2 linked regions of the Stegostoma tigrinum genome follow. The protein of the gene in region 1 binds, or shares a complex with, the protein of each later gene. Links are inferred from orthologs where the notes say so. Each region holds a gene or a part of one and is shown in the gene's direction. Other genes may lie near its edges.

What was found.
Region 2: the proteins of signal-transducing adaptor protein 1-like (region 1) and linker for activation of T-cells family member 2-like are in contact, whole or in part, in a crystal structure (PDB 3MAZ), measured with the Homo sapiens proteins. The link is inferred for Stegostoma tigrinum from reciprocal best matches to the Homo sapiens genes STAP1 and LAT2. Residues at the interface, in NP_001304698.1 of Homo sapiens: Arg184, Arg203, Pro204, Gly205, Ser206, Ser212, Ile215, Gln217, Ile219, Lys225, His226, Tyr227, Lys228, Glu239, Leu240, Glu241, Tyr255, Phe256, Glu259, Thr260, Arg261, Asn263, Leu264; in NP_054865.2 of Homo sapiens: Asn134, Ser135, Tyr136, Glu137, Asn138, Val139, Leu140, Ile141, Lys143.

The regions. Positions count from the first base shown.
Region 1 is NC_081356.1:16,918,647-16,935,463, forward strand, and holds the start of signal-transducing adaptor protein 1-like, read left to right. Parts: upstream 1-10,315; 5' UTR 10,316-10,589; coding exon 10,590-10,700; intron 10,701-16,476; coding exon 16,477-16,548; intron 16,549-16,817. UniProt on the Homo sapiens protein: In BCR signaling, appears to function as a docking protein acting downstream of TEC and participates in a positive feedback loop by increasing the activity of TEC.
Region 2 is NC_081380.1:5,373,270-5,390,133, forward strand, and holds the start of linker for activation of T-cells family member 2-like, read left to right. Parts: upstream 1-8,272; 5' UTR 8,273-8,379; coding exon 8,380-8,407; intron 8,408-9,178; exon of another isoform or gene 9,179-9,239; intron 9,240-16,864. UniProt on the Homo sapiens protein: Involved in FCER1 (high affinity immunoglobulin epsilon receptor)-mediated signaling in mast cells.

The DNA.
Region 1 (16,817 bases):
GTGATGGCGATAGCCTGGCATTTGAGTGGTGGGAATGTCACTTACCACTTGTCAGCCCCAGCCTGGATATTATTCCAAATCTTGTTGCTTTTGAACAAGGACTACTTTAGTATCTGAGGAGTCATGAATGGTGCTGAATATTGTGTAATCATCAGCAAACATCCCCACATCTGACCTAATGATGGTGAGAAGGTCATTGATGAAGCAGCTGAAGATGGTTGGGCCAAGGATACTGCCCTGAGGAAGTCCTGCAGAGATGTTGTGGAGCTGAGATAATTGACCTCTAACAATCACAACCATCTTCCTATATGTTGGTTATGACTCCAACACCCAGACAGTTTGCCCCTGAAACCCATTGATTCCAGTTTTACTAGGGCTGCTTGATGCTACATTCAGTTGAATGCAGCCTTATTGTCAAGGGCTGTCACTCTCACCTCAGCTCTGGAATTCAACTCTTCTGTCCATGTTTGAACCAAGGCTGTAATGATGCCAGTAGCTGAGTGGCCCTGGTGGAAACCAAATTGGGCGTCACTGAGCAGTTTATTGCTGAGTAGTTGCTGCTTGATAGCATTATTGATTACACCTATCATCACTTTACTGATGATTGAGAGTAGATTGACGGGGTGGCTACTGGCTGGTTTGGATTTCTCCTGCTTTTTGTGTATCGGACATATTTGGGCAATTTTCCACATTGCTAGTAGATACCAGTGTTATAACTGCAATAGCACAGTTTAGCTAGAGGAGCGGGAAGTTCTGCAGCACAAGTCATCAGTTCTATTGCTGGAATGCTGTTAGGGCCCATTGCCTTTTCAGTATCCAGTGTCTCCAGCCATTTCTTGATATCACGTGGAGTGAATTGAATTGGCTGAAGAATGGTATCTGTAATGCTGTGGAACACTGGAAGAGTCCAAGATGGATCATCCACTCGGCATTTCTGGCTGAAGATTGCTGCAAATGCTTCAGCCTTATCTTATGCACTGATGTGCTGGGCTCTTCTATCATTGAGGATGGGAATATTTGTGGAGATCCTCCTCCAGTGAGTTGTTTAATTGTCCACTACCATTCACAACTGGATGTGGCAGGACTGCAGAGCTTAGCTTTGATCCGTTAGTCGTGAGATCACTTAGCTGTATCACTTGCTGCTTTTGCTGTTTGGCATGCAAGTAGGCCTGTTTGGTGGCTTCACCAGGTTGACACCTCATCTTCAGGTATACCTGGTGCTGCTTGTGGCATGCCCTCCTGCACTCTCTATCGAACCAGGGTTGATCCCCTGGCTTGATGGTAATGGTTGAGTGGCAGATAAACCAGGCCATGAGGGTATAGATTGTGCTGGAATACAATTCTGCTGCTGTTGATGGCCCACAGCACCTTATGGATGAGTTGCTAGATCTGTGTGAAGTCTGTCCCATTTAGCTCAGTTATAATGCCGCACAATATGATGGAATTTATTCTCAATGTGAAGACGGGACTTTATCTCCACAAGGACTGTGCGATGGTCCCTCTTACTAATAGTCTCATGGACAGATGCAACTGCAGCCGGCAGATTTATAAGGTTGAGATCAAATATGCTTTTCTCTCTTGTTGACAGTTCTTTTTATCTTGCAGAAACTTTCAATATGGTTCACCGGCATATCTCTGTATCTAATGATGTACCAAAGGGAATACAGTTAAAGGAGAATCACTTCAAAACTATAATGAACATTGTTAACAGTATTGACACCTGGCAGAAGGGTACCTAGGATGCATTTCCCTCTGGACTGCATTATTTGATTTTATCAGGTTCATGCAAAACATGAGCACACTATTTCGTCTGGGAGCTATCACAAACCCTCAAATATCTTGGCTCTATGATTTAACACAACTGTGGAACATTTAAGTCAATTCATCTTTCACGTACAACAGCAATGAGAGACTCTAGACGTAGCTTTGTGTCTTGAAGCAATGTAATATGATAGTCATTTCTAAGCTTACCAAGTCTCAGACAGAGCTGAGGAAATTCTTGATGGAAATTTGACCTATTGTTCTGATCCAGAGCTTCATTTACTTTCTTCAGAAGACCGAGTCCTCAACATGCATTTCCACTCAGCAAAGACGTTCTTTGTGTAAGATATAAAGGGTCTTGTTAAGCTGTTTCCTGTTGCAGTGAAGTATGTTAGTTATCTAATTTTTTTTTAATTTGAAGATCTGTGCCAACTAGTCTGTGCAATTTAGTTCTTGATGGCTGGATGTCTACTGCTTCAAGCTGGTATGTTATAAAAGCTATTTGATATCTGTAAAATAACAAAAGCCCAATAGCAGATGGAAGCCCTGCTGAAATTCTCAAACATGTTATAGATGCACTTCTGGCAGGCTGCACATCCTCATATCCCTCACCTGAGAAGAAGAGCGAATGCTGGTGATCTCATGGATGTTGTGATCGTGATTATATTCAAAAAGTCTGATTGTTGTAACAACAGAGGATTTGCCCTGCTCTCTGCCACAGGGAAGATAATTGCAAAGACACTCCTCAACCGTGTCCTCCTACTTAAGACCATAAGACATAGGAGTGGAAGTAAGGCCATTCGGCCCATCAAGTCCACTCCGCCATTTAAATCATGGCTGATGGGCCAAATGGCCTTACTTCCACTCCTATGTCTTATGGTCTTAAGTAGGAGGAGGTGGTTGAGGAGTGTCGTTGCAATTATCTTCCCTGTGGCAGACAGCAGGGCAAATCCTCTGTTGTTACAACAATCAGACTTTTTGAACATAATCACGATCACAACATCCGTGAGATCACCAGCATTCGCTCTTCTTTTCATGTGGGGGATATGAGGATGTACAGCCTGCCAGGAGTTGGCAAAGAACTCCTTCCAGAGTCACAATGCAGTTTTTGACCATCATGAGGCAACAAACATGGTTGTCACTGTGCAGAAAATTCAAATCCAGGAATGGCACCAGAATGCTCTGTTTAGCTTTTTACATTTTTTTCTGCTGTCTGAAATTGTCGCCATCCTCCACCTGCCTCATGATAACATACATGTCATGATGCCCAACAACGGAATTACCACATACCCTATCACAGTGAAAATTGGAGTTAAACAAAGCTGTGAAATTGCACTAATTATTTTCACCATTTTCCTCACTGCAGTATTACATCTCATCTTCAGTAAATTTAGAATAGCCAGAATAGTCTAAATACCTAATGGGCAATGGTTAAACCTACTTTATCTTCATCTGAAAACCAAAATCACTTCATTGACCTGGACCAAAAGAAAGTTGTCCCCGGTCTCCAGGGACTGCCTGAGAAGAACACCGAATTACCAATTGAGAAAGAAAGAAAAAAACTTTCATTTATGAGGTGTCTTTCCTGTCCTTAGAACATTACAATGAAACATTTCTGAAATGTAGTCATTGTTATAACTTGGGAAATGCAGCATCCAAAATGACCACAAAAATAAAAATCCCAAACAAAACTGTAATCTTGACCAAATGGTTTGTTTTAGACATTCATTAAGGAATAAATGTTGAATAGATTACGAGGTGAATTCCCTTGCTCTTTTCTTTGATTACAACCACAGGATCTTTCATTTATACTTGAGAGGGGAAGCAGAGCTTTGGTTTAACATCTCATCTGTTCTGCCACAGTGCAATTGATTCTCATGACTGAAGTTCAATTCAGGATGAAGGTATAACCAAAGTAAGAACGTTAATACATATGGCTTAGGAAAAATGACTGGATCTCAGCTCTCAAACATTCAGCAGCTTAAAGAATTTCCAACCAGTAAGCCTAATGCTAACTGGAACGTTCAAAAGTGTCCTCAATGTCTACATGCCCATGAATTGTAATAATTTTAGAGCATATTGCATTTCACATATTACCATAGAAACATGGAATACTCTGGAAAAACTCTTCATTTTATGGAATTGTAATGTATCAGTGATTAAATTAAAAAGACATGCATGTTTATATCACCATTTATCTCAGTGCTTTACAGCTGCTGAAGCACACTTGTAGCATTTGTAATATGAGGAAATATTGGAGCTAATTCATTCACAGCACGGTTCCACAAACAAAAAAGTATTAGCCCAGATCACAGGTTTAAGTGATAGCATTTGAGAGATAAATAAGAACACCAGAGAAACTTCTTAATTCTTCTTCAAAATAATGATGTGGATGTCTAATGTCTGTATAAAAGGACCAGAGAATCTCAACTGAATGTCTCCTCCAAAGCATGATCTTTCTGACAGTGCAGCACTCTATCGATTTGGAATGAGAAGCTGGATTCATGCTGAAGTCACAACCCACAAGTTGAAAAAAGCACCTCTGAACCAAGGACAGACGTATTACCAAATGAGCCAAGGCTAATGCCATAGAAGCAAAGACAAATTGCAAAATGCCCTGTATAATCTAATCACAATCAAATCTAACTTTTAAAATCATGGAAATTTACACGTAGTTAATGAGTATATTTAATCCTTTGGTGCCAGATAACAAGGTGATCCATTTGATCATGTTCCATTGGACACAAATAATTTATCATTGTTTTATTGTCACAATGTGTGACTCAAGAAAGTTCTAAATGTTGGAACAAGAGAGATGTTGTTCTGGTAGCTTTCAGAGATTTCATAGGGCTGAGTGGTTATCAGTTCTCCTCATTTATTAGATTAGGCCTTGTGAAGATGAAGTCCCACCTTTGTGAGAATAGCCCTCATCATGTTGTGTGGCTCTATCACCGTGCTAAATGCAACAGGTTTTGAACAGATCTAGCAACTTAAATTGGCATTCACAAGACATTGTGAGTGAACAACAGCTGCAGAATTGTACTCCATTACAATCTGCAACCTCATAATCCAGTATAACTTCCACTCAACCATTTCCATCAAGTCAGGCAATCAAACTTGGTCCCATGGAGATTGTGGGAGGGCATACTAGGAGCAGCACCAGGCATACCTAAAAAAATGAGGTGTCGACCCAATGAAGCTACCAAACAGGACTACTTGCATACCAAACAGCATAGGCTGCAAGTGATAGACAGAGCTAAATTATCCCACAACGAATGGATCAGATCTAAGATCTGCAGTCCTGCCACCTCCAGCTGTGAATAGTGGTGGACAATTAATGAACTCATGGGGGAGCCCAGCACATCAGTGCAAAAGATAAGGCTGAAGTATTTTCAGCAATCTTCAGCAAGGAGTGCCAAGTGGATGATCCGTCTCAAGCTCTACCAGTGGTCCCCAGCATCACAGATTCCAGGCTTTGGCAATTTGATTCACTCCATGTGATATCAAGAAATGGTTGGAGGCACTGGATACTGCAAGTTTATTGGCCCTGACATCATTCTGACAATAGTACTGTAGAGTTGTGCTCCAGTACTTGCAGCTCCTGTAGCCAAGCTCCTCCAGTATAGTTACAACACTGGTAGCTACCCAACAACGTAGAAAATTGCCCAAGGAAGTCCAGACCATAAAAAGCAGGTCATATCCAACCTGGCCAATTACTGCCCCATCAGTCTCCTCTCAATCATCAGTAAAGTGATGGAAGATGTCATCAACAGTCCTACCAAGCAGCACTAACCTTCTTAGTTATGTTTAGTTTGTGTTCTGCAAGGGCTACTCAACCCCTGACCTCATTTCAGCCTTAGTTTAAACATAAGACAGAAGTGTTGAATTCCAGAGGTGGGGTGGGAGGACAGCCTTGACATCAAGGCTGCATTCAACTAAGTCTGGCATCAAGGACTCCTAGCAAAAAGCAGAATTTTTGGGTATCAGGAAGCAAACTGTCTGCTGGTTGGAGTCATACTTGGCACATTGGAATATGATAATGTTTGTTAGAGGTCAGTCATCTCAGCCCCAGGACATCTCTGCAAGCGTTCCTCACTGTAGTGTCCGACACCCAACCATCTTCATTTGTTTTCCGCCATTCATAAAGTCAGAAGTAGGGATGATCACTGAATTTCATAATGTTCAGCACCATTCTAGACTCCTCAGATACTGAAGTAGTTAATGCTCAAATGCACCAAGATTTGGACAATATCCAAGCTCGGGCTGCTAAGTGATTAGTAATATTCATGCCATACAAATGCCAGGCAAAGACCATCTCCAATAAGAGACAATCTAATCACTGCCCTTCATATTCAATGATGTTACCATCACTAATTCCCCAATATTAACATCCTTAGGGTTACGTCAATGGGTTTACCATTGACCAGAGACTCAGCTGGACTTACCACCTAAATAGAGTGGCTACAGAAGCAAGTCAGAGGCTAGGAATACTGCAGTGATTAACTCATCTACTGACTCCCCAAGGCCTGTTCTCAATCTACAAGACACAAGTCAGGAGTGTGATGGAATGCTCCCAACTTGCCTGAATAGGTATAGCTCCAATAAAACTCAAGAGGCTTGTCACTGTCCAGACAAAGTAGGCTGCTTGATTGGCACCACATCCAGAAGCATCCACTCCCTCCAGCACCAACGTTCAGTAGCAGCAGTGTATACTATCTACAAGATGCACTGCAGAAATTAACTGAAGATTCAGAGAGAACATTTTCCAAACCCATGACCACTTCTGTCTAGAAGGACAAAGCCAGCATATACATGGGAACATCACCACTTGTAAGTTCCCCTCCAAGTCTCTCACGATCCTGACTTGGAAATATATTGCTGCTCCTTTACTGTCACAGGGTCAAATTCCTGGAATTCCCTCTTTAAGGGCATTGTGAGTCAACATATAGCATGTCGACTGCAGTGGTTCAAGTGGGCAACTCAACACCTCTTAAGTGCAAGATAATAAAATGTGAGGCTGGATGAACACAGCAGGCCAAGCAGCATCTCAGGAGCACAAAAGCTGATGTTTCGGGCCTAGACCCTTCATCAAAGAGGGGGATGGGGGGAGGGAACTGGAATAAATAGGGAGAGAGGGGGAGGCGGACCGAAGATGGAGAGTAAAGAAGATAGGTGGAGAGGGTGTAGGTGGGGAGGTAGGGAGGGGATAGGTCAGTCCAGGGAAGACGGACAGGTCAAAGAGGTGGGATGAGGTTAGTAGGTAGCTGGGGGTGCGGCTTGGGGTGGGAGGAAGGGATGGGTGAGAGGAAGAACCGGTTAGGGAGGCAGAGACAGGTTGGACTGGTTTTGGGATGCAGTGGGTGGGGGGGGGAAAGAGCTGGGCTGGTTGTGTGGTGCAGTGGGGGGAGGGGATGAACCAGCCCAGTTCATCCCCTCCCCCCACTGCACCACACAACCAGCCCAGCTCTTCCCCCCCCACCCACTGCATCCCAAAACCAGTCCAACCTGTCTCTGCCTCCCTAACCGGTTCTTCCTCTCACCCATCCCTTCCTCCCACCCCAAGCCGCACCCCCAGCTACCTACTAACCTCATCCCACCTCTTTGACCTGTCCGTCTTCCCTGGACTGACCTATCCCCTCCCTACCTCCCCACCTACACCCTCTCCACCTATCTTCTTTACTCTCCATCTTCGGTCCGCCTCCCCCTCTCTCCCTATTTATTCCAGTTCCCTCCCCCCATCCCCCTCTCTGATGAAGGGTCTAGGCCCGAAACGTCAGCTTTTGTGCTCCTGAGATGCTGCTTGGCCTGCTGTGTTCATCCAGCCTCACATTTTATTATCTTGGAATTTCCAGCATCTGCAGTTCCCATTACCTCTTAAGTGCAACAGGGAATGGGCAATAAATACTAAACCAACCAGCGACATCCACATCATATGAGTGAATTTAAAAAAATTGGTTCTCTACACTTAATTTCTTACAGTGCCACTTATAAAAACTAGCTGATGGTCACACAAGAGGATATGATTTTACTCTTAATATAAGAAAACATTTGTTTGATGCAAAGGAAAATTTCTAATTGAAAATAATCAGACTTTGAATATAATTATGTTATTGAAGAGTGTTGCTCAGTGCACTGCTTGGTTACATTGTATTGGGACTTCTTGGTCACATCTTGATGAGCCCAGGCAAGAAATATCCATGTGGTAACTTCTTAAAAGCAACAGTCAGATCACCTCTGAAGATACAAATGAATGATTGGAAAAGGTGTTAATACTCCCAACTACATAATTGTTGTTAGTGATTATGGTGCTGGTCATTATGTAATTGAAATCATTATGGTGATTTGAGAATAAACACAAATGAAAATAACAAAAATGTGTTTGTGTTGTCATTTAAAAAAACATTCAATTCACAAATGCCATTAGGGAAGGGAGGCCAAACAAATCTACATGTGGCTTCAGACCCATACTGAGTGATGAACTTGTAAATGACCTCAAGGCAACTCAGGGCAGGTGATAAATGCTGCCTTATCAGTGTGGAGCAATATCGCAAGAACCAATAAGTGCTCAGCTCCAAAGAAAGACTTTGAATCAATGCCAAAAGAGAGATGAATTAATTATTAATCTCCACCACCCCACCCTCACCCTTAGGTAAACCTACCCAGTTAAACCATCAGTTTAAAACATCAACTAGGAAAAACTTCAGATTATTGAAGGAATTTAGACAGCTCTATCAGCTTCAGATTGGGTCTTGTAATGAAATATCCTCCCCTCTGGAGTTTTCAAATCAACAAAATTATCTTGTGGTAGAATATATCTCTGGTGTATTGAAACAGGAACATTGTTTTTCAAGGTTAACAATATCAGCAACTTAGAATCATAATTTAGGGATTTAAAATATTCTTATTGAGATGTGTTTAAGAGGAATTAAATTTGAAATTACAACTTCTTAAATAAGAGTTTTAAAACATATATTGTAAGATCCAAAGATAATGGGAACTGCAGATGCTGAAGAATCCGAGATAAGAAAGTGTGGAGCTGGATGAACACAGCAAGGCCAAGCAGCATCGTAGGAGCACAAAAGCTGACGTTTCGGGCCTAGGCCCTCCATCAGAAAAGGTGAAAGGTCTAGGCCCGAAACATCAGCTTTTGTGCTCCTAAAATGCTGCTTGGCCTGCTGTGTTCATTCAGCTCCACACTTTATTATCTTGTAAGAACCAATTCTGGATTACTTTATAGGAATGATTACAGTATCACAGAATATATCATATCATCATTATTCTACTTTATATTTATACACAATGTTTAAATCCACACTCAAACTTTTTAAGATGTTCAAAGAAATAAGGTTTAAAGAAAACTTTACTCACAATACAGTATATTTTCTTTAGTGTGTCCATGGGAGTTTCCAGGGGAAATTTCCAGGGGAGTTAGTGTAAAACCGACTGTTCTATGTTGATGGTCTTATGTCTGTGTTTTGCATGTGTTTATGTTTTTTAAGAGCTTAAGTTTGTAATTGTGGCATTTGAAACAATGCATATGTATCAGCATAGTCCTATAAAATCTTTTCTTAATAAAGATTATCACTGACTCTTTCTTTGTACATGACTGAAGTTTACTATTCCTTTTTCATAGGTGTTTTGGCTATTTTCCAATAGACATGCCTCCAAGGACCCTAAAAGTTCCGTGCTCTTCCGTCTGGTGTGTTTTTACTTTTCTTGGCACTTACCAACAACATAAAATCAGGAGCAAGGGTAGGCGATTCAGCCCTTTACGCCTGCTCCACCATTCAATAAGATTATGGTTGATATGATTGTAAAATTAAATTTGCATTCACGTCTACCCGATAACCTTTCAACTTCTTGCTTAATAAGAATCCATCTAACTCTACCTTTAAAAAAAATCAAGGATTCTGCTTCCCGTGCCCGTTCAGGAAGACTGTACCAAAGACTGTTCAACCTCAGAACGAAAGTCACAAAATCCTTGTTCTCGAGGGCAATCCTTGAATTTTTTTTTAAAAAGTGGCTGTGTTCCAGATTCACCTATAAAAGAACACACCTCCACGCATCCATCCTGTGAAGACCCCTCAAGATTTGTGTTTCAATCAAGTGACCTGTTAAGACCTCAAAAAAAAATAAACGAACTGTGGATGCTGAAGATCTGAAACTAAAATAGAAATTACTGAGGAAATTCACAGCCTTCCTCTAAACTCCAGCTAAGAAAAGACAAGATTGTCCCGGCTGCCCCATTCCATGTGTTACGTCTGGTAAACCCTTTCAGAATCGCCTCCAACACATCTATATTGTGATTCAATAACATAAAACAAAGAACTTCAGATGCTGAAGGTCTTTAAAAAATTGCTGGAACGTTCTGAAGAGTTTCTGGATGCGAAACGTTAACTGGTTTCTTCTCTACAGATGCTGACAGACCTGGTGGTTTCGCCAAAAATTTCTGCTTTTGTTTTACATCCTTAAACCAACCTACATTAAAATAATCAGTACCGCAGGCAACTTTCCCTCCCTCTGTTAGACGCTCTTGCCTGGTAGAGGAATATATCTCTTCTATGTCACGTACACTTGATAATCTACTTTCCTCGTTGAATAATTTCCTCATTCCTGCTGGATTCCAGTCTATAGCAAATATATGAGAATGACTCGGGTAATGTTCTCACTGGGTCCTGTTCTTTCGGTTCTCTCCCTCTGGCTATTACATCGATTAGAAGTGGAACAGTCCAACGGCACAGCCGCTCCAAGCTGTAAGCGTGCGTGGACACTTATTGCTTCATCTCATCGTTAATAGATAAGAGTAATCACGTTTTTTAAACACAGAAATGGCAGCTTCCAGGACAAACTTGAGGCAAGTCTTTCAAAGACGGGAGAAGATTACCTCTCTGCCTTTGTATTACGATGGGGTTCTATGGAAAAAAAGCTCGAAGGATAAGGTAGGTGACATCCGCGTATCTCTCTGCAGACTTACATTACGTTCGTTTTAAACGTCGATAATTCTGAAGGAACGGCAGCGCTGTAGAAAGTGTTAAAGTACTCCTTTGAAAGTCTAGTTATTGGAAAGTTTCCTACCTGACGGCTTCAAGATTTTCTGAAGAAAATTAAAGGATGAAAGCTGTTTGAGAAGTGGCAAAGTTTAGTGAGAACATACCGGGATAAATATTGCTATTTAAAAAATTACTGTTATGAATTACTTAAATGTAGAAAATAGAATTCTTCGCTATGGAAGAGGCCCTTTGGCCCATCATGCCTGTACTGATAAAAATATGCCATTACCTACACTAATCCCACTTCCCCATACTAGAGTAGTAGCCTTGAAAATTATGGCACTTCGTGTTCAAAACGTTGAGGTTTCCTGCTTCAAGTACCCTATTATTTTGTCTCCAGCAGCTTTGCAATATAACTGGAGAAAGGGTTCATTATTACCAACATGCACTGCTTTTTATATTTATCATTTCATTTGTGAACTTGAACTGTTAGTAATTTCACAAACTTAAACTGGCAACTGTGAAGCCCGTGGTAATGAAATACTTCTACATTTCCTGCTGGTCAACTCAGCGGGAGGTGGAGCGGTGACAAAAGTACTGTTTGAAATCCAGTATTTTCTTTCAATTAAGCCTCAGGTAAAGTCGCCCACTATTTATTAACTCAAGTTTTAGAAATTAGCATTTATTAGTTAAAAGGTGCAACAAAATGGGAACTCCGTAGGTCAAAGACCTGTGCTTCGTCTGAGGGGTTTGAACACCAGCATTCGATGTGACCAGCAGGAACAAGGGAGATTAAATAGATAGCACTGGCTGCGTTTCAAGGTATAGGGTGCTGAGTTTTGTATCACAAGCAATGTCAGCAATTTCTACGTATATTTGTAAAATTCCTTTCTATAATTTCCACTCACCTTGCTGCCTCGAGGGTTTCAAACTAGGAGGTCAAACAAAAGACCCAATTTCAAGTTGCCAGTGGTCTTGTATAATGCCGGTTTTCCACAAGATCCTTGGGACAACCTGGATCTTCACTGTAGCTCTCTGATGAAGGGTCTAGGCCCTTTTGCCTAGCTTTTGTGCTCCTGAGATGCTGCTTGACCTGCTGTGTTCATCCAGCTTCACATTTTGTTATCTTCTCTGTCGCAAGCTCATTTTGCTCTTGCAGGACAATTTCTTTGCAAAGCTGCTGCTGGAGGGGAAAAAGATCTGCCTGAAAAGAAAAGGATTTTCGTCCCATTTATCAAGGTTTTTTTTAAGCAATAACAGTCTGTATTTGCAGTTAAAGCAGATTAACTGGAAATGCAGACGTTTATTCTTTAACAAAACCTTGATAAATGGGACCAAAATCTCTTTTTAAAAACCCATAGGGTGAAATACTCCTGGTCACATGAAAGCAAGCTTGAAGGTGTATCCAGGAGTAAACATTGAATTACTGTTGTTGGGTGATCAGTCTGAAGTCCACTGGGGTCCACCTGACAGTGGACCTGCTTTCTATTGAATCACCAACGCAGGAAATGATATCACCAACCCAAGGAAACCGAAACAGATAAATAGAAAGTGGGACGTAACACCAGCGCTTCACCGGAGGCTCACTGATGATGTTACCTAGAATGGTGACGAAACGTCTGAAAACTAACCTTCCAGCTCAGCGAGCAAACTCACATCCGGAACCTCAACCTGAGCTACAAATCTTCTCAAAACTCGCTACTAACTGGGTGCTTATCCCACTCACCATTTTTAATTGGATAGCGTTCACAGATATGGCCTCTTAATTGTTTGCCTCTGGTAAGATCATGCAGACAGCACTAACAGCACTGAGGCATGTTTTTGTACCCAAACACGGAGTCGTCAATGGTGGTAAGATTCTACCCGTAGATTTACGACAACAAAACCTTGGAGTCGCTATTCCGGAGCATCTTGTGAGCCGAGCTCAGAAACTCCTGACTGTCAGAGATGTTTTAAAATTGTCAGAGATAATGGGAACTGCAGATGCTGGAGATAACAAAAGTGCAGAGCTGCATGAACACAGCAGGCCAAGCAGCATGCTGTGTTCATCCAGCTCTACACTTTTAAAATTCTCATCTTTGCTTCCAAATCCCACGAAGGCATTACTCCACCTATCTGTAGGAGCCACCACAGGAAAACTGTTTGGCATTTTTTTTAGAAAAAAAACGATTTCTCCCCTAATCAACGTGTTGCTACACAAGGTGAGACTTAAACCTGAGTCTCTCGTTAGGAATACTACCACTGCGCCACAAGAGGCCCCTTCAAATGAGTGCTGATGCGGAAAGAAACTTCTTATTTTGCTGAAACCGGATATTGAACCGGGAGCCTTTAGGTCTTCAGTCTAACGTTCTCCCAACTGAACGATTTCGGCCAAAGTTTGGCTTCTTATGCGCCCATAATTTTGATTGGTGAATGGTTGGTGGCTGTGCCTACAACAGCCTAAGCCAGATTCTGGAAGTGCCTCCGTAAACTCTTTCCCTCTTCATCTCTCTCTCTCTCTCTCTCTCTCTCATTTAATACATTTCTTAAAACCTAGTTCTTTTTCTAAGCAATCAGTGATTCATCTTAATATTTCCTTTCGTGGCTCGGTGTCAGATTTTGCTTTATAATACTCTTATGAAGCACTTCTTATACATTAAAACCCACTGTGTGAACATAACTTATTGTTATTGTTGAGGAACACGCGGTTCTCAACCACCATCGAGTGCCTGGTACCAGATTAATACCGAATGCACAACAAAAGACGTACACTTATATAAATAGCACAGTTTAAAGGAACTGGTCTTCTGTGACTGTGTTGACCCACAGTCCTAAGCACTTTGGAGGCAAGTAGAAGAATGATAATTTTGAAATTGAATAAATGCTAAATAAAGAACAAACTTAAAATATGGTGACAAAAACAAAGTTGCTGGAAAAGCTCAGCAGGTCTGGCAGCATCTGTGAAGGGAAGATCAGAGTTAACGTTTCGGTTCCTCAGTTCTTAAGAAGCGTCACCGGACCCAAAACGTTAACTCTGATTTTTTTTTCTTCACTGGTGCTGCCAGACCTGCTGAGATTTTCCAGCAACTTTGTTTTTGTTCCTGATTTACAACATCTGCAGTTCTTTTGGTTTTTAAAATATAATGAGTTGAAGAAACCTCATTAGCAAATTGTAGATAATTTCAAATAAGAAACAAGATTATAGACAACGCAGTTGTCATAGGATATTTGCAAAAGTTTATTGAGTTTCCTTCTATAAAAATGAAGCCCCCTTAATCCATGATTTACTTAGAATGCAACTAGTTCAGTCTCCAAGATGGCTAATGCTTGAGCACCATCTATGATAAAGGTGAGAACTTTACAAAAAAACAGACAGTAATGGTGAATGGTTAATTTTCAGACTGGAGGAAAGTATACAATGAGGTTCTCCAGGATTCGTATTAGGACTACTGCTTCTCTTGATGTTCATTAATGGCCCAGATTTGGGTGTACAAAACACAATTTCAAAACTGGAGATGACATAAACCTTCGAAATATGGTAAAGTGAACTGAGGGGGTTAGTGATAATAGGAACTACAGATGCTGGAGAATCCAAGATAATAAAATGTGAGGCTGGATGAACACAGCAGGCCCAGCAGCATCTCAGGAGCACAGAAGCTGACATTTCAGGCCTAGACCCTTCATCAGAGAGGAGGATGGGGTGAGGGTTCTGGAATAAATAGGGAGAGAGGGGGAGGCGGACCGAAGATGGAGAGAAAAGAAGATAGTTGGGGAGGTAGGGAGGGGATAGGTCAGTCCAGGGAAGACGGACAGGTCAAGGAGATGGGATGAGGTTAGTAGGTAGGAGATGGAGGTGCGGCGTGGGCTGGGAGGAAGGGATGGGTGAGAGGAAGAACAGGTTAGGGAGGCAGAGACTGGTTGGACTGGTTTTGGGATGCAGTGGGTGGAGGGGAAGAGCTGGGCTGGTTGTGTGGTGCAGTGGGGGGAGGGGATGAACTGGGCTGGTTTTGGGATGCGGTGGGGGAAGGGGAGATTTTGAAGCTGGTGAAGTCCACATTGATACCATTGGGCTGCAGGGTTCCCAAGTGGAATATGAGTTGCTGTTCTTGCAACCTTCGGGTGGCATCTTTGTGGCACTGCAGGAGGCCCATGATGGACATGTCATCTAAAGAATGGGAGGGGGAGTTGAAATGGTTTGCGACTGGGAGGTGCAGTTGTTTATTGCGAACCGAGCGAAGGTATTCTGCAAAGCGGTCCCCAAGCCTCCGCTTGGTTTCCCCAATGTAGAGGAAGCCACACCGGGTATAGTGGATGCAGTATACCACATTGGCAGATGTGCAGGTGAACCTCTGCTTAATGTGGAACGTCATCTTGGGGCCTGGGATAGGGGTGAGGGAGGAGGTGTGGGGGCAAGTGTAGCATTTCTTGCGGTTGCAGGGGAAGGTGCCGGGTGTGGTTGGAGGGCAGTGTGGAGCGAACAAGGGAGTCACGGAGAGAGTGGTCTCTCCGGAAAGCAGACAGGGGTGGGGATGGGAAAATGTCTTTGGTGGTGGGGTCAGATTGTAGATGGTGGAAGTGTCGGAGGATGATGCGTTGTATCCGGAGGTTGGTGGGGTGGTGTGTGAGAACGAGGGGGATCCTCTTTGGGCGGTTGTGGCGGGGGCGGGGTGTGAGGGATGTGTTGCGGGAAACGCGGGAGACGCGGTCAAGGGCGTTTTCGACCACTGGGGGGAAAGTTGCGGTCCTTGAAGAACTTGGACGTCTGGGATGTGCGGGAGTGGAATGCCTCATCGTGGGAGCAGATGCGGCGGAGGCGGAGGAATTGGGAACAGGGGATGGAATTTTTGCAGGAGGTTGGGTGGGAGGACGTGTAGTTAGTGATTGGCTTGGAGAGGACATAAAAGGCTGGTTGAATAGTTTGGTCACATGGTAAGAACATGAAGTTATGCATTGTGGGGAAAAAAAATAATCAGAGGCAGTATCAAATAAAGAGTACAATTTCAAAGTGTGCACTTAAGACCTGGCAGAATGTACGTACATGTTTTTAAAAACAAAATGACGGTAGGTTAAGAAAATGCTTTTTAAAAAGCTGGGCCTTATAAATAGAGTAGAAAAGCAAAGACTAATGATTTTTCACAAAAAGCTGGTATGGCATCAACTGGGCTGTTATGTCCAATTCTGGGCATGCCACTTTAAGACTGTGGTGAAAGCCTTAGAAATGGTGCAGAAAAGAGTTAAGAACAGTTAGAAATACTTAAAGATGGTTTGAAGGAGCTGGTATTCTCTTCCTGAACACAGAAATATGAGAGAAGATTTGACAAACGCATCAAAAATTATGAATGATCTTGTCAGGGTAGGTAGAATCTGTTTCCATTGTCAGAGAGGTCTAGAATCAACAAAAACAGATTGATATTCCTTGACAAAAGAAACAACTTAAGGAAAGACAGCAGTGAACGATTGCAATTTGGAATGCAGTATCTGAAAGGGTCACAGATGGATTCAGTCATGGGCTTTCAAAAAAAAATTAGAAAACATCTGAAGGCGAGAAAGTGTAGGGATTTAGGAAAGGGAGGAGAAGCAGGACCAAATTAGTTGCTGTTATTAAGGGCAGAATGAGTTCAACAGGCTGAATGGCCTCCTATTGTGCTGTAACCATTTGTATTTCTACAGTTCTACAAAATATAATGAGAAAACATGAAGCCTGTTCTTCCCCTCCCAATGATTTGTTTTCTTATCTATTTAACAGACCTTCCAAAGATACTGGTCAGAGTTACGAGGATCTTCAATATTCTTTTATTGTGATGAAAAGGAATCAATGGTAAGAAAGATCTTTACTCTGGAATCTTTTGGTTTTCAAAGGTCAAATGATCATTCACTGTCTTAGCTTCAATATTTTGCCTTATTCTAACACAGGCATAGATTATTGCGGTCATTAGAAATAGTACAGTGAAAAGTCTTGTTTTGCATGCAGTACAGGTAGATCATAACATACAAAGATCATAGGGTGATTGAACAGAGTGTGAATACAAAGATAAGGCTACAACAAAGGTGTACATAAAGCAAGATCAGCATTAGATTTCAAATTTG
Region 2 (16,864 bases), on another chromosome or scaffold:
TGATCCTTCCCACAATGTCAGTAGCAGGTAGTCTGAATGTGAGAAATTCGTGGACGAACATGTGATAGAAAGAAATGCAATGACATGCATGTAAAAACAGAATTATGCGACAGAAACTTGGTCTCCAGTGTGAACTGCAACACACCAGATCTCTAGTTATTTTACAGAGTATTCTGATCCTTCAGTCATGTGGACTGCCTGAGAACTCATATGAATCAACCACAGACTTCTTATATTTGGTGTAGAAAGGCAAATATTCAGCTGATGTCCCTTTCAACAGGTCTTTCAGTTAGATAATGAATTAGAGGAATTTTTTAAAAAATATAACGAACTTGTTAAGAATTTTCTTTGGAGACTGCATTGCTTTCTGTTTTGGAATTTTCTTAGGATAGATTAACTGAAATAAATGTTGTCTACCCACACTATTAATTTATGCAAGTACACCCACTCCAATCATTCATTCACTGCTGAGTGATTGAAGTCTTTGAACTGAATGCGTCATTTAAAGATATGGTATAAATGCATGTTTACTTGAGCTGTGGTGAAGCTGGAAAATACTGACATATTGGTTAATCAGTTGTTTTAAATTTAGCATTGTAAACAAGTGGCCTTTCCATTAGATGGTTATATGGTATGTTTTTGAAATTCTATAAAGGAGAAAGGTTGCTGAACTATATTTAGAAATGTGACTTTTATGTAATGATTAAATCTGTGATATTGTTTTTTGAGCTGTAGAAGGTGTGTATTTTGTATATTATTGTGGTAATGTGTCATCTTTGTACCCCTTATTGCTTGAAGTAAACATACTATGCCGTGTTATCATGCTATGTGAAAATTTTCATACTCCCAGAGGCTGTTTCTCATGTGGACAATGGGTTGTGCAAGTTATTTACTGATAAGAGCTTTATAACTAAAAGCTCTTTACCTAATGGACTTCTCAACCAAGAGGCAGTTAACTATGGGAGCAAGCTCTTTAAGGCAATTCATGGGACAACTGATCACTTATACAGTCAAACTGGCTAAATGTCTGACCAGGTTTGGTGTCCCTGTCTTGGACTACAGAGTCTGGGGTAAGTGCCATCTGTTCTAGACATTATGATGTGTCTAATCAGGTGGATTTAAAATATTTTTAGGGGTAAACAATTGGATATCCTGTGGAATGTAGAGGCAGGCATTTCTGATTTACTGCTTTCTAGATGTTCTGGGGTAGAGGAACAAAGAGATCTCAGATCACAAATACACCAATCACCAAAAGTTATGCCACAGGTTAGCAAGGCTATACATAAGAAAACTAAGCATTAGGATTTATTTTTCAGAGTATAGAATTGAAAAGCGGGGAAGTTATACTAAATTAGTATTAAGCTTTGGTTAGATGATACTTAAGGGTGTTGCATACTGTTCTAGTTACCACATTATAAAAAAGAATATTGAGGCATTGGAGAAGATGCAGGGAAGATTCCATTGCAAATTCAAAGAAAACCTCTTTACTGAAAGTGTGGTGAGAATGTGGAAATCGCTACCATAGGGATAATCAAAGTGAATAGTGCGGGTTGATTTTGGAGAAGGTTAAACAAACAAAGGAGGGATAAGGAATCGGGGGATGTGCCAGTGGATTATATGAGGAAAGACAGGGGGAAGATCCCGTCCATCATAAAAGCTGAGATCGATGCAAATATCGATGACTGGAGGTTGAATGTTTGCATGGTGAATATATACTAGGCTGATACAAGGTATGGAGAGACTGGTTATGAGGACAGATTGAATGGATTGGATGTGTACTCTTTGTAATGTAGAAGATTACAAGTAACATGCAAGATTCTAAGGGAATTTGTAGGCTAGATGCCAAAAGGTTGTTGCCCATTGAGAGAGTGTAGGACGAGAGGGCTTGATCTCAGAAAATGAAGTCAAATATTTAAGACAGAGGTGAGAGGGAATCTCTTCTGTTAGAGGGTTGTGCGTCTCTGGAATTCTTTACTGCAGAGGGCTGTTGAGGCTAGGTCATTAGTATATTCAAAGCTGAGATAGAAGATTTTTAATCAATAAGGGATTGACAGGTTATGGGGAAAAGGCAGGAATGTGGAGCTCAGGATTATAAGATCATCTGTGATTTCATTGATTGACAAAGTAGACTTGATGGCCAAAATGGTCTACTTCTGCTCCTAAGTCTTACAACAGGCTGTGCTTCTACATAACCTGAACTGGTGTCGCTTTCTGCTGAGCCTAAGACTATTATGTTGGATTTTTTTTCCAAAACTGTGCTGCATTTCTAACTAAATCAGCTGGGAATATAGCGCATTCTATTCAATGATGATGGAATATTCTTTGGAAATGTAAGGACTGATGAGGGATTGTCAACATGGCATGGTGCGTGGGAAATCGTGCCTCATGAATTTGATTGAGTTTTTTGAAGAAGTGTCAAAGAAGATTAATGAAGGCAGAGTAGTGGAGGTTGTCCAAATAACTTCAGCAAGCCATTCAACAAGGTTCCACATGGTAGATTGGTTACTAAGGTTAAATCACATGGAATCCAGAGAGAGCTAGCCACTTGGATACAGAATTGACTTGAAGGTAGGAGACAGAGAGTGATGGTGGAGGTTTGTTTTTTGGACTGGAGGCCTATTGAAGCTGCTGAATGTGGTGCCAATCGAGTGGACTGCTTTATCCTGAATGGTGTCAAGCTTTGTGAGTGTTATTGAAGCTGCACTCAGCCAGGCAAGTGGAGAGTATTTTGTCACACTTCTTTCAGGGTTTAGATATTTCAGGTGAGAAAGCAGGGGATGTAAAATGGGCAGAGGACTTGCATTACTGATTAAGGGGAATACGTTGGGTATTTTCAGCACTTTCTGTTGCCACATTCTAAAATAAGCTATGCTAATCATCATTCAACTCATAATATGGCCCACTGTCCACTTAAGAGCCCATATTAATCCTTGCAATTTGTCTAATTTACTCGTGTGAAAATGGGGTTTCCTTGGAGTTGCAGTGACTCCGATGATGATTTTCTGGGTAAAGGAAGTTTGGAAACTGTCCCTGTCTGGTAGTTTTAATAATATAACGCCTGACCCAGTCACGGCTAGTTAATGTCAGTAATGGTAAATTGAGAGGCAGACCCCTTACGTGGTCAGGATTCTATCCATAGGGATTCAACTTCACAATGGTTTGGTGTCAGTTCAGTTGATCAGTTAATGACAGGCTTTTTAACTTGGGAAAGTGCTCTGCCTCTAATCAAAGAAATAATTCACACTTAACATCAGAAACAAAGGAATGAATACAGTTGTAAATTTCTGAGTTAGTTTGGTTTGGAGTTTATTAAACATGACTCCATTTGTAGAAAAGGAGCTTCATGTTCTCACAAACTTGCCGAGATATTTGCACCAGTGACAGCCACAAATGAAGTGCTGAAAAATGTGGTGTTATTATTGAAGAAAGGTGGTAAGGAAAAGCCAGGGAACTACAGACTGGTGACCCTGGCTTCTATGGTGGAAAAGTTGTTGGAGGAGAATTCTGATGGACATATATTTAGAAAGGCAAATACTGAAAAGGGATAGTCCACATGGCTTTGTGCATGGAAAATCATGTCTCACTAACTTGATTGAGTTTTTTGAAGAAGTGATGAAGATTAATGAAGGCAGAGCAGCAGACATTGTCTATATGGACTTCGGCAAGGTATTCAACAAGGTTCTGCATGGTAGACTAGTTAGCAAGGTTAGATCGCATGCAATCCAGAGAGAGTTGGATATTTGGATACAAAATTGACTTAAAAGTAGGAGACAGAGAGTGATGGTAGGGGTTTGTTTTTCAGACTGGAGGCTTGTGACCAGCGGTGTGCCACAAGGATCAGTGCTGAGTCCACATCTTTTTGTCATTTTATATAAATAATTTGGATGTGAATATGGGAGGAATGGTTAGTAAGTTTGCAGATGACACCAAATAGGAGGTGTAGTGGACAGTGAAGAAGGTTACCTCAGGTGGAACTGAATTCTGAGGAATGGTCACCGGGCCCGAAATGTTAACTCTGTTTTCTCCTTCACAGATGCTGGCAAACTTGCTGAGCTTTTCCAGCAACTTTGTTTTTGTTGTTGTATAACTATGATGTTGGCTGGAGGATAAATATTTGTTAAGACACCAAACCCCTCTACTCTGAATTTGTATCGTGGCATGTTTCATACAAACAAACTTGTTTAACATTCCATTGAAAAAGACAGTGCTTCCAACAGTGCAGTGTGCCTACACTACTGTACTGGAATGTCAGCGAGATTTTCTGCTCCAGTCCTTCAAGTGAGGTTTGAATTCACAACTATCTGACTCAGAGGCAAAAGCACTACATAAATAATCAAGGCCATGGCATTAAAGTCATCAAACTTGCTGTGAAAAAGATACATTTGTCATGGACTTTGATGTAAACTTGAACTTTCAGATTCTTGTTTTGGAATCTATAAGGTTTCAGTGGTGTTGATATCAACAGCTCTTTCAGTGTGGCACTTCCTGTCCAGTTGGACATTTTCTCTAGAACCTCAAATGAACTCTGCATGCTGAGTGCCGGTTTATGGAACACAAACTAGTTTTAAAATGGTGCAAAGAAAATTTAAGCTGGAAGTCTCTGAATTTCTAGTAAACAATCTTTTGTGAATGTAAATCTGAATATAAGATTGGGGCAGTGAGCCAGACCAGTCTTTATTCTTGAACTAAAATAATAATCCAATGTTTTCTTTAAATTGCAGATTGTTTTGATATTTCCATTCAACTAAGTTCTAGGAGACCAAGTGTAGAAAACATGAGTGCTGAAAATAAAAAGCAACTTGCATCTGAAGAGATAAGTTGGGCCCATTTATTAGAGTTTCCACAGTGTATTACCTTGCTGTATGCTTGTAAAAAGGGAGACAGATGAACTGCCGTCATTTATTGATCAACCAGATACAAACTCCATCTTTCCATCGTAATTTCCATTGTTTATTTTAACCTAGCAGAGTAATGGGTGACCTAATTGTGGTGATTAAGGGATTTGAAAGGAAGGTTATTTCCCCCTGGTGGAGAAGCCCAGAACAGTAGGTCATAATGTTAAAATTAGATTTGGGGATGAATGCTTAGAAGCACTTCTTTATACAAAGGATAATGGAAGTTTGGAACTGTCTTCCCCAAAATCCTCTTGATGCAAGGAAATCATTTAGGCATTTCAAAACAGAGAATGATAAGCCAAAAGAGATAGTAGGAACTGCCGAGGCTGGAGAATATGAGATAACACAGTGTGAAGCTGGATGAACACAGCACGCCAAGCAGCATCAGAGGAGCAGGAAAGCTTGACGTTTCAGGTCACACTGTGTTATCTATGATAAGCCAAAAGTTTTGTTCCAAAATTTTGGTGGGTACATTAATTTTTCCTACACTTAAACATGTAATTAAACCATTGTCTAATTGGTAGAATGTGCTTAAGGACCTGCTCCTTTTTTTAGGGTAACAAAAATAGGATGGATTTGTGAAGAGAGATCTCGCGGTTCAGTGGGTAACATCTCTATCGCAGGAGCAGAAGCTCTGGTTTCAGTCCCACTCCAGGATTCATAACCAAGAAAGGTGTATTCAAAATGTGGCCAAACAGTTTCAGTACTAACTTGTAAATCCATCCAACACCAATGGCAGGTGATCAGAGTGGAAGAGATTCCTGGTCAGCCTTGTGAATGGATAGAGATCTTCCACCACGTTACAACAGGGAGACAGACAGCCGAACTAAATATCTCTGAATTCACAACACTGTAGAACTAAAACCTTCGAAGACCCCTAATAGTTATTTCAGTAGTTCCTAACTAGATTTTTGAATAATCAATCTCAGACTTTAGGTATAATTAATTTCAGATACCAGTTCTACATTTTAAACAAAAGACGCAACAATTTATTATATAACTTCAGCAGAGAAAATGTAAAACAAGGTAGTCTATGCCTATGCTTTAAATTTTAATATTAAGTTAAAGATTAATATGCTTTAATCCCAAAACATTTGTTTTCAGCCCCCATTCACACAAAATTCAGACAAATGAACATGGTTAAGAGGATAACTAAAAGAACATCACAAAACTGGCCAAATTACTTAAATGGCTTCACAATGTGTTTTTTCACAGGCATAGATGTAAATTCCTTTGCTGCTTTTTTGGAGACATCAATCAGGGTCATGTTTTCAGTTCACTCAGGTAAAGACAGTGAAATTTCTAACTCAGCTTTTTACTTTTTGGGCTCCTGAAAACCGTGAAGGGAAGTTTGGAATGGAGTTTTCAAATCTTCATGCTGTGTCATCAACAGCCACCCTTAGAGTCATACAGCTCTGAAACAGACCCTTCAGTTCAACCAGTCCATGCTGACTGTAATCCCAAACTAAACTAGTCCCACCTGCCCATTGCTTGACATATATCCCGCCATACCTTTCTTATTCTTGTACTTATATAAATGTGTTTTAAACACTCTAACTGTGCCTGCATCCACCACTTCCTCTGGACGTTCATTCTGTACACGAATCACTCAGTATAAAAAAAATTGCCCCCATGTCTTTTTTAAATCTTTCTTCTCTGACCTTAAAAATAAGCCCCCAGTCTTGAAAACACCCACCATAGGGATAAGACACCCACCATTCACCCTACCTCTATCCCTTATGATTTTAAAAACCTTTACAAGGTCACCCCTCAACGTCTTACACTCTGGTGAAAATCTCTCAGCCTATCCAACCTCTCGTTATAACTTAAACCCTCCTCTTCCAGCAACATGCTAACAAATTTTTTCTGATCCCTCTCCAGCTTGATAAATTCCTACCTATAAGAGGATGACCAGAACTGGACACAGTGCTCCAGAAGAGGCCTCACCATTGTCCTGTACAACCTCAACATAATGTCCCAAATCCTGTATTCAAAGGTCAGAGCAATGAGGGCAAGCATGCTAAGTGCCTTCTTAACCATGCTGTCTACATGTGAGAGATAATGGGAACTGCAGATACTGGAGAATCCAAGATAATAAAGTGTGAAGCTGGATGAACACAGCAGGCCAAGCAGCATCTCAGGAGCACAAAAGCTGATGTTTCGGGCCTAGACCCTTCATCAGAGAGGATGCAAACTTCAAAGAACTATGTCCCTGTACCCTTAAGTCTCTCTGTTCTATAGCACCTCCCAAAGGCCTACTTTAATTGTATAAATCCTGCTCTTGTTTGTTTTACCAAATGCAATAGCTTGCATTTGTTCAAATTAAACTCCATCTGCCACTCTTCAGCCCATTGACCCAATTGATCAAGATTTCTTTGTAACCTTAGATTACCTTCTTTATTGTCCACTGTACCATCAATTTTTCTTCCAGAAAACACACTTCAACTCTGGTCCCACCCTGATAAACTGATTGTCTTTTCCTGGCACCTCAATTACATTCAGTATCTGATACCAGCTTGAATATCTCTTCCAGTCTTGCTGGAACCCATCCCATTAATAGCAAAAGTTGGTTATCTGTTCAAACACAATGCTCTTTCCAGGTTGCTGTGACTATTTGAACCCCTTAAGTAAAGAACAAACCTGCGATTAGGCTCCAGGCCTGGCCTTACAAACAAAAACTTTTTTGACCTCTTTTCCTTTTACCACAAGCTGTTTCCCAAAGCCCACAGGGCATATTCAGCTCCCAATTCCCAGTTCAGGGCTCCAAGCAAAAATTGACAACGGAATAAAAATAATGAAAAACCAGTGAGGGTTCTAACAACCATCACTGCCTGTAGCTTCAGGCTAAAATATGCAAACGAAAATGTATGCAACACTGACTCCCCTGGGAGGAAAGGGTGTGGATCAGATTGTTCTAATAGCACATGCTTCAACGCCTTTTCTGGTTGGGGACCTGCCTCCTTGCCCCAAGCACGGTGTGGAGATTGTGGCACCCAGAGTCAGACTTGATTGGGGCAAAGTTTAAGTAATTCTGAAATGCTTTCTGCCCAACCCACACTCCTGCCATTGGTCATCCTATTTATTCATCTGAACCATAGGTCTAACCTCCATGGTTAACTGGAAACAAACAGACTGTTAAGTGACCCCCCCCCAACAAGGATGATGACTGACTGCCTCCAGCCTCCCCCACTTTCAGTATATATTTTTATATCAGTAGGGGAAAGAATGTAAAAAAAACACCATGTGCGGCAGATGAATCCCTGGAGACTCCTGGCGGGTTGGTACCCCCAGATCAGTGTCAGTTATGGTTCACGCCTAACCAAGGAGAAGGGCTCGGTTCGATGACTGACTGAGTGTCAAAGCACAGCGGGCGGATGTGGTGCAAGATTCCTGTTAAACAGCGGAAACGGTAGCTCGAACCGTTTATTAGTTTGCCCTTCAGATTAAGCCTGACATCCCCAGCTCGGAGACAAGATGAAAGCCCATGAAAGGAGCCCCTGAGATTGCAGCCGGTAAGGACCCACCTCCTGAGCCAGGGAGCTGCTCTCTTTCCGTCTCCAGTTCCTGAAAACATCTAACTGTACTTGCAGCAATCTTCTGCAGCGCAAGTTACTGCATCTAATAGTTACTAAAATGGCTATTAATTTCAATGAAAAATATATATTCGATCTCGGGTGACTTTTAATTAAGGTAGTCTTTAATGTAGAAACCAGATCAGTAAAGTAAGTAATTCACAATTTGAAACATTATGCGTGTCTGTGAGAACATATACTGTATAATGTCTGTCCAAAGGACTACACTCTGCAACTTTCTAATTGCACTGGCCGAGCGTGCGATTGCGACGAACTGTCCAATCCGCCAAGATCCGAATTAAAGTGAATTCGATTCGGATCCCAATCCTAATTGCGGTTGTCTTTGGAAAGGGATGCTTCAATGGCCAGTGTGTCTGTTTATCTTTAACCTGATTCCTATATACTCAGGAAACTGCCTAGGAAGAACATTTCCAGTAACACTATACGGGAGGTGCGATTTCAGGGCAAGCGACGATCGAATCTAGCTATGAAATGTGTAGATGAACTTAAACACAGACCCAGAGAGGCAGGCCAACGGAATCGTGATCAGCTGTTGCAAACCCCTTTATATTTTTTTTAAAGCACGAAGTTTCCAAGGTTCTCAGCGAATATTTTCTGAGTTGCTACCTTTTCTGGTGTTCGCTGCATAACTTAAGAACAGATCCGGACTGACTGCAGTTCAAACAGCGATAGAAGGAGCTGTATGTTAAACTCAGTCATTGTCTTCTTGAAGGTCTTCCTGGCGTCCGTAGAGCTCGGCAGAGCCAGCAAGGTAGAAATACTTCTTTAAAAAAATTGTCTAGGGACATTGAGAAATTATATTTTGATGCTGCATCAGGGTTTTGGCTTCATGTGGAAGTTGAGGACCAGTCTCCCACTGATTCAGATCTTTTGAAATCACCTTTAAACATTTTAGAAACAGTTTTTGAAAATGGTCATTTAGAAGTTGCACCTTGTTTGCAATTCACAGCCATCTCAAATGCATCATATAATAGCCATTTAGCATCTGTGCACTCTCTCGTTTTTTGACCACAAGTCTCATTTCTGCTACTTTTGACTTATTTTAAAAACAAAGTCTTTGGGATGTGGGCATCACTGGAAAAGCCAGCATTCATTGCCCATTCATAGAAGCTCTGGAACTGAGTGACTTGCTGCACTATTTCAGAGAACAGTCAGCCTCGTTACTGCTGTGGATTTGGATTTGCCCGTAGGCCAACCTGGGTAAAAATGGCAGATTTCCATCTCTAAAGTGGTGAATCAGATGCTACTTGATCACTAATATAACAAGGCACGGAGCTGGCTGAACACAGCAGGCCAAGCAGCATCAGAGGAGCAGGAAGGCTGGTGTTTTGGGCCTAGACCCTTCTTCTTGATCACTGATAGTTTCAAGGTCAGCTTCAGTGATTCTAAATTTTATGAATTGAATTTTAAATTCCACCAGCTGGCATGGTGGGATTTCAGCTTGCATCCCCAGAGTATTAGGCTGGGCCTCAAGATTACTCACCCACTGGCATTACCTCTATACCCCCCCGTCTACCCCACAAGGAAAAGTAATTCTAATTAGCAAAGTCAAACTGCAAAGGATAGGAACAGGCGGAGGACCATTCTGTTCCTTATTTTGTTCTATCATTCAATTACATAATTAACCTTTTATTCCCAGATGTCCTTCCGTAACACAAATAAACATTGGAAACATTGCACTCTCGCTTCTTAAATATTGCTTATATTGTCCCAGTTAAGTCCTTAGGAGTCTCAAGCACAGCTTCAAGTCTCACCATCTCCCCAGCACCCTTCTCAGACTGTTATCACCGCACATTGATAATGGCTTGGAGGTCATCCCCCTGGCTAGCATTTGTGCTGTGGGAATGGATAAGTTTCCCAAGAACTAAATTCCTGTAAATGAAATGAAAGAAATATGCAAGGCTTCAGATTTTCAAAGATGGCTCTCAACGTGGGTGGCATGGAAAACCAGTGTTTATAGCCCAGATCCTATGCATCATTAATATATTGAATCACTTGTGTTGGGCAAGAACGAAGTCAGATATCAAGCAGACCAGGTAAGGGTAACTGGTTTCTAAGCAATGTGAAAGGGGAGAAAATGGAATTATAGACCAGTTAGTCTGACATCCGTTGTTGAGGAAGTAACCTGAGTCTGTATTTAAGATTAGGATGACAAGCTGATTGATGTGATGGACAGTGCACTGTCTATGGAATAATGAATCAGGATTTGCAAGAGGCATTTGATAAATTTCCTCACAGAGACTGAAGAGCGGAAGTTAAAACTCCCAGAACTGAAGGAAAATTATTGAGCTACTTGGGAATTTGCCTGAGCTATGGGAAACAGTAGAGGCAATGAAGTAGTCAGTGTCAATGGCAGGATGTGACTTGTGGTGTCCCACAAGGATCTGTGCTGTGAACTTTTCGCTGTTTATTAATGACTCTGTTAATGGATTACAGAGCCACAAATTTCTGTTTGCTAATGAGAAGGAATTAAGGGACGTTGTAAACCGTGGAAGTAGAAGCATAATGTATGTATAATTTTAATAATGTATGTATAATCTTAAAACAATGTCAAAACTGTGGCAAATGGATTTAAATGTTGGTAAGTGTAAAGTTATTCACATTGGACCTAAAATGGAATATTTGTGAATGGTGAAAAGCTGGGTACGTTGGACATCCGAAGGGACCTGGGGCCCAAGATCATTAAAATGTTGTGAATGCTTTGAGAAAATAATCAAGAAAGGTTAATAGAATGCTGATCTTTATATCTAGAGAATGAGTATTTGAGACAATAGCATCATGTTTCTCTGATTAGGCCACATCTGGAGTACTGAAAGCAGCTCTGGACACCATAGTTTAGGATTGATATATCTGTTTTGGTCCACAGGTAGTACAGATTTACTCAATGATATTTGAACCCCAAGTGTTAAATTATGATTTAATATTTTCTAAACTGTTGGGAATTTAGGTTAATTGACAATATGATCAACATTTTCCAACATTAAGGGGAACAGATAAAATCAGTACTTCTGCTCGGCAAACAGTTGAGGACCTGGTATCTCACTCCTGTTCCTTCTTCCTTCCCTGAAAGATATTATTGAACAATTTGGATATTGACAGTGACTTTTAAATCTTCACGGTCCATTGTTAATGCCATTAATAAATTATTGGTGTATTTGAATTCGATTCTGCCGTTTCACATATTAGTCTTTAAATTTGGAACTTCAGTATTGTTTGAGTAGCAAGAGGCTCCTGTACTCTAATTGCTTCAGGAAAGAATGGAACGTCAGTATTTCTGTTGTATTTTGTTATTGCTGTCAGAAATGTTGCTGAGTTTAGAAACGAGAATAGAATAATCCAGAGACCCAGATAGAATTCTGGGGACCCGGGTTCAAATCCCACCTCGGCAGATGCAGGATTTGAATTCAATAAATATCTGGAATTAAGAATCTAATGGTGATCATGAGCTGATATCCTCACCTGGTCTGGACTACATGTGACTCCAGACCCACAGCAATGTGGTTGACTTTGAACAGCCCTTTGCAATTAGGAATGGGAAATAAATGCTGCCTGGTCAGCGACGCCCTCATTCCGTTAATTAATAAAGAAAAAAAATTACCTTGGTGCTGTTGGGAACAGGACAGGATTTCGATAGCTTGTGTTGCCAAACCTTTCTCACCCCTTGTCTCATGCCACCCTCCACGCTGCAGTTGATAGTGCCCTGCATTTATTCTGTTTATCCTTCTGCAGTGCTTGTTGGGTTAGTAGCTTCCTTCGTAAATTGGGAGTAAAGATAACTGTATGGTTGGGTGTCATTTCTTGTTATGCCCTTCTAAAGATAAGTGGTTAAAGTGATAATGAAGATTACTTCCAATGAAGTGTTAATGAAAGAGATAATGTAGAATAACAAGCTACCATTTTTCCAAAGCTCTCACCATGAGGCAGACTCATTGGTTCTCCCTTACTATTCAAGAGGGAAGTATTATGTAGGGGAAAGTGGAGTAAGGTATGAAGAAGTCTAAATGTAATTCCTATCATAAATTAGTTTGAAGTTTGCTTACTCATAGCAATTTTTTGTTTTGTATGGCAAGCTGCCAAAATGCAACAGTGAGTGAAGTTACACTGGAGTACAACAATTGTTAGATTATAAAAAATCACAGCCCATCTAGTTTTCTGTCTATCATTCTGATAATAGAGTTGTTGACTACTACAGCAGTTGTTCTCAATCAGTTAGTCTGCAGAAGATTCAGATATAATCTGAAGAGGCTCTCAGTGGGGAAGAATTGTAGAAATCTATTTTCTCCAAACAAATTTTGGGGTAGCCAATGGTGTAGTGTTACTATCACTAGAATATTAATCCAATGTTCTGAGGACCTGGGTTGGAATCCCGCCATGGCACATGGTAGAATTGGAATTCAACAATAACCTGGAGTTAAAAATCTAATGATGACCATGAATCTATTGTCGTTTGTCAGCAAAAACCCCATCTGGTTTAGGGAAGGAAATCTGCCATCCTTACTGATCTGACCTATGTGTGACTCCAGACCCACAGCAATGTGGTTGACTCTTAACTATCCTCTGGGCAATTAAGGATGGGCAATAAATGTTGGTCCAGCCAGTGATACCCAAATCCCATGAATGAATTAAGAAAAAGAAATTGCACCCGACCGCATGACACTGCTTGATTTGTTTATGGCCATGGCATGTGTTCAAGAATAAACCAAACCATATTTTAAAATCATTAACATTTTGTTTCAGGAAGTTTAGTGGTACTGTAGGCTTAATAAAAACACACCATTCCATAGCAGAAAGGGCAAGATCTGAAACCCTGTGCGCTAATGGGACTGGAGCAACAAATCAAAATTGTGCACAGCACCACTGCTCCCTGGTGAGCTGAGATATATTTTTGTGAAACTTCAATTTTTTCAGTTTGTTGGAGAGATTAGAGAATCATTATGACAGAGACATGGAGTCAATAGAGGAATTCACAGTTGTGACTGTGTTGATAGTGAATAGGAAGAAACTGTTTCCAACAGCAGGAAGGTCAGATACTAGAAGGCACGGATTTAAGATCATTAACAACAGTACCAGCTGGCAGATAGAGGAATTTCTTTTAGATGGAGAGTTGCTGTGGTCAGGAATACACTGCTTGAAAGTGCAGTGGAAAGTGTTTCAGTCATAACTTACAAAAGGGAGTTGGATCTATACTTGAAACGGAGCAATTTGCAAGGCTATGGGGAATAAGCAGGGGATTGAATAGCTCTTTTAAAGGATTGACACAGACACAAAAAACTGAACGCCTGTGTGCTGTACTGTATCGTGCTTTTGAACTGTAGATTATGTAAGTCAAGTGACTGGGTTAGAGCTATTCACGGATCCAACATCCACAACCTGTTGGGAAAGAGTTCTGGGTTTCTTCAACCCTTTATCTGGAATAAAAGTACTCCCTGATTTCACTTGACACCTAGTTGTGATTTTAGATATTTTCTAATCATTCTCTTTAGAGATGTTATTATGCACTTCTGCAGCAGATGGGATTTGAAACTGGCCGAGAGGTTGCTTGTAAGGTTGTGCACCCCCTTGATATGCGGGAGATTAATGTCACGGTGTACAGAGCCCAATCAGAGAACGGGGTTGTGCATGATTTGGTGTTGTATTTTTCTCAAAGTCATCAATAACTCAAAATATTCTCTGACTTTCACAAGGGCAAACCATCTGGCACTGTAATAATGCTTAAAGATTTGTATGGCTCCTTCTTTAAGATATAATTTTAGTTATAGTGTGCAGAGTGAGCTGTTAGAAGGACAATACAGTAAAACGTGGAAATGGTGGTTCTGGTCCAAGCTTGTCTTATATACCTTAATATGGGATTCCAGTTCAGCTCTGTCCAGTGACTAATAGTTCCCAGATATTTATTGAGTTTACATCCGGATCAGTAAATGTGAGTACAGGTATTTATGTGGCTTTTGATTCATTTTGCCCTTCTAGGGTTTTTATTTGTCACTCCTTTTTAGGCATAATGGCATTTTCTCTTTGAGCAAGTTACGGTGCTCAAAGTTACAGCATTCGTAGAATCGCAGAATCCGTACAATGAAGAAGCAGGCTATTTTGCCCCCATCGAGTCCATACTGAGCATCCAAGGAGCATCCCATCTAGACCCACCCACCCTACCCTATTCCTGTAACCCCACACATACCACGACCCACCCACCAAGCCTGCACATCTCTGGACACTCTGGGTAGTTTAGCATGGCCAATCCACTTAACCTGCATATTTTTGGACTGTGGGAGGAAACCAGAGCACCCAGAGGAAACATGGGCAGACACGAGGAGAATGTGCAAACTCCACACAGAGGGCAGAATCACACCTGGGTCCCTGGTGCTGTGAGGCAGCAGTGCTAACCACTGAGCCACCGCGCTGCCCAAGTGGAGAGCATTCCTAGATTGTGTCCAGGAGAGATTCTTGTACCTATATGTGTCCAGGAGAGCTTCTTGTACCTATATGTGTCCAGTCTAACAAGAACGGAGGCACTGCTAGACTTGGTTCCTCAGAATTAAGTGAGCCAAATAGATCAAGTGGCAGTGGAGTATAATAGATTCATAGAATTACATTGTACAGTAGAGACCCTTCAGCCCATGAGTCTGCACTGGAAATCTGCCATCCTTGCCTGGCCTCGCTGATGTGTCACTCCAGATCCACAATAATGTGGTTAATTCTTAACTGCCTACTGAAATGGCCTAGCAGGCTACTCAGTTCAAGGGGCAGTTAGAATGGGCTACAATTGCCAGCCTTGTCACCTACACCCACATACCCAAAACAAACCCTCTGACCAAGGAGACAAATTCTATTCTGTCTATTGCCTGGTTGCAGATGTGTAAATATTACACCAATGCATGTAAATTACAGGCTAAATAAACCAATTGATCATTTTTAATCCTTTGATTTTGAAGGTTTGTATAATGTGCAGTATTCAAAAGGGCATTAACAAGTTGAGGCAGTGGGCAGAACAGTGTCAGATGAGATTCAGTGTAGACAAGTGTGAGATGGTGCATTTTATTCAAAAGAACATTTTCGTTCAATATAAAATGGGGAGTCTGATTCTAAATGGGTTGTGGCACCTGTGCATATATTTGCACAGATCATTGAAGGTGACAGGTGGAGAGAGTAATTAATAAAGTATGCAACATTTTCAGTTTTATTATTAGGAGCAAGGAGGTGATGTTGCATTTGTACAAAACACTTGTTAGACTTCAGCTAGAGTATCATAAATGGTTGTGGGTGTCATATTCTCGGAAGGATGTGAACTCATTGGAAAGAATGTAAAAGCGAAATACTAGAGTGATTCCAGAAATGAGAAACATCAATAATGAAGATGGATTGAAGAAGTTGGGACTGTTTACTTTGAAGAGAAGAATGCTGAGAAGAGATTTGAAAGAGATTTTCAAAATTATGAGCAGACTGGTTACAGTAGATAGGGACAAGTTGTTCCACTCATAAAAGAACAAAGAGCAAGAGGGCATAGATTTAAAGTAATGTGCAAATGAAGCAAGAGTGATGTGAGAGAAAAACGTTTTCACGCTGAGCAGTTAGGGCGTGGAATGCACTGCCTGGAAATGTGGTGAAAGCAGGTTCAATTAAGGCACTCAGAGGACATTGGATGGTTATTTGGTTAGAAACAGGGACATGAGGGAAAAGGCAGGAGATTACCACTAGATAAATGAACATTGGACCAAATGGGCTCCTCCTGCACTGTAATGATTCTGTTTCTATGATGTAAACTATGCATCAAATAAGAGGAAAGATCACTAGGTTCATCAAGCCTGCCTCACACTGGAGGACTGAAGCATCATAGCTGGGCATAGCTATCTGCCTCTACGCCCCCACTCCTCACCCCTCCACAGCCATGTAAATTTTTGAGGGGTGGAAAAATGATGCCCTGGATGATACTTTCAATATCCTTGAAGGAGAACATGCGATACAGAGTGGTGGTGTTGTAGTGATAATATCACTGAACTAGTAATCCAGCCAGAGACATGGATTTAAATCTCACTGTGGCAGGCTGGCGGAATTTCGACTCAACTGATAATTGAGATTGAATTGAAAACTAGTCTCAGTAATGATGACCATGGGTTGTTGGAAAAACTCATCTACTAACTAAGGTTCTTTCAGACGCCGTCTGGGCCAGACCCACAACAACGTATTTGACTCTTAAAGGGTCTCTGAAATGGCTGAGCAAGCTACTCAATTCAAGCGCAATTAAAGATGGGCAACAAATGTTGACATTGCAAATGTTACCCACATTCCGTGAAAAAAAAAGGAAACAAAAATATAGCCATCATTGTGAAATGGCTGTGTTGAGGAAAATCACTAATTATCTTTTTAATGAATGTTTAGAAC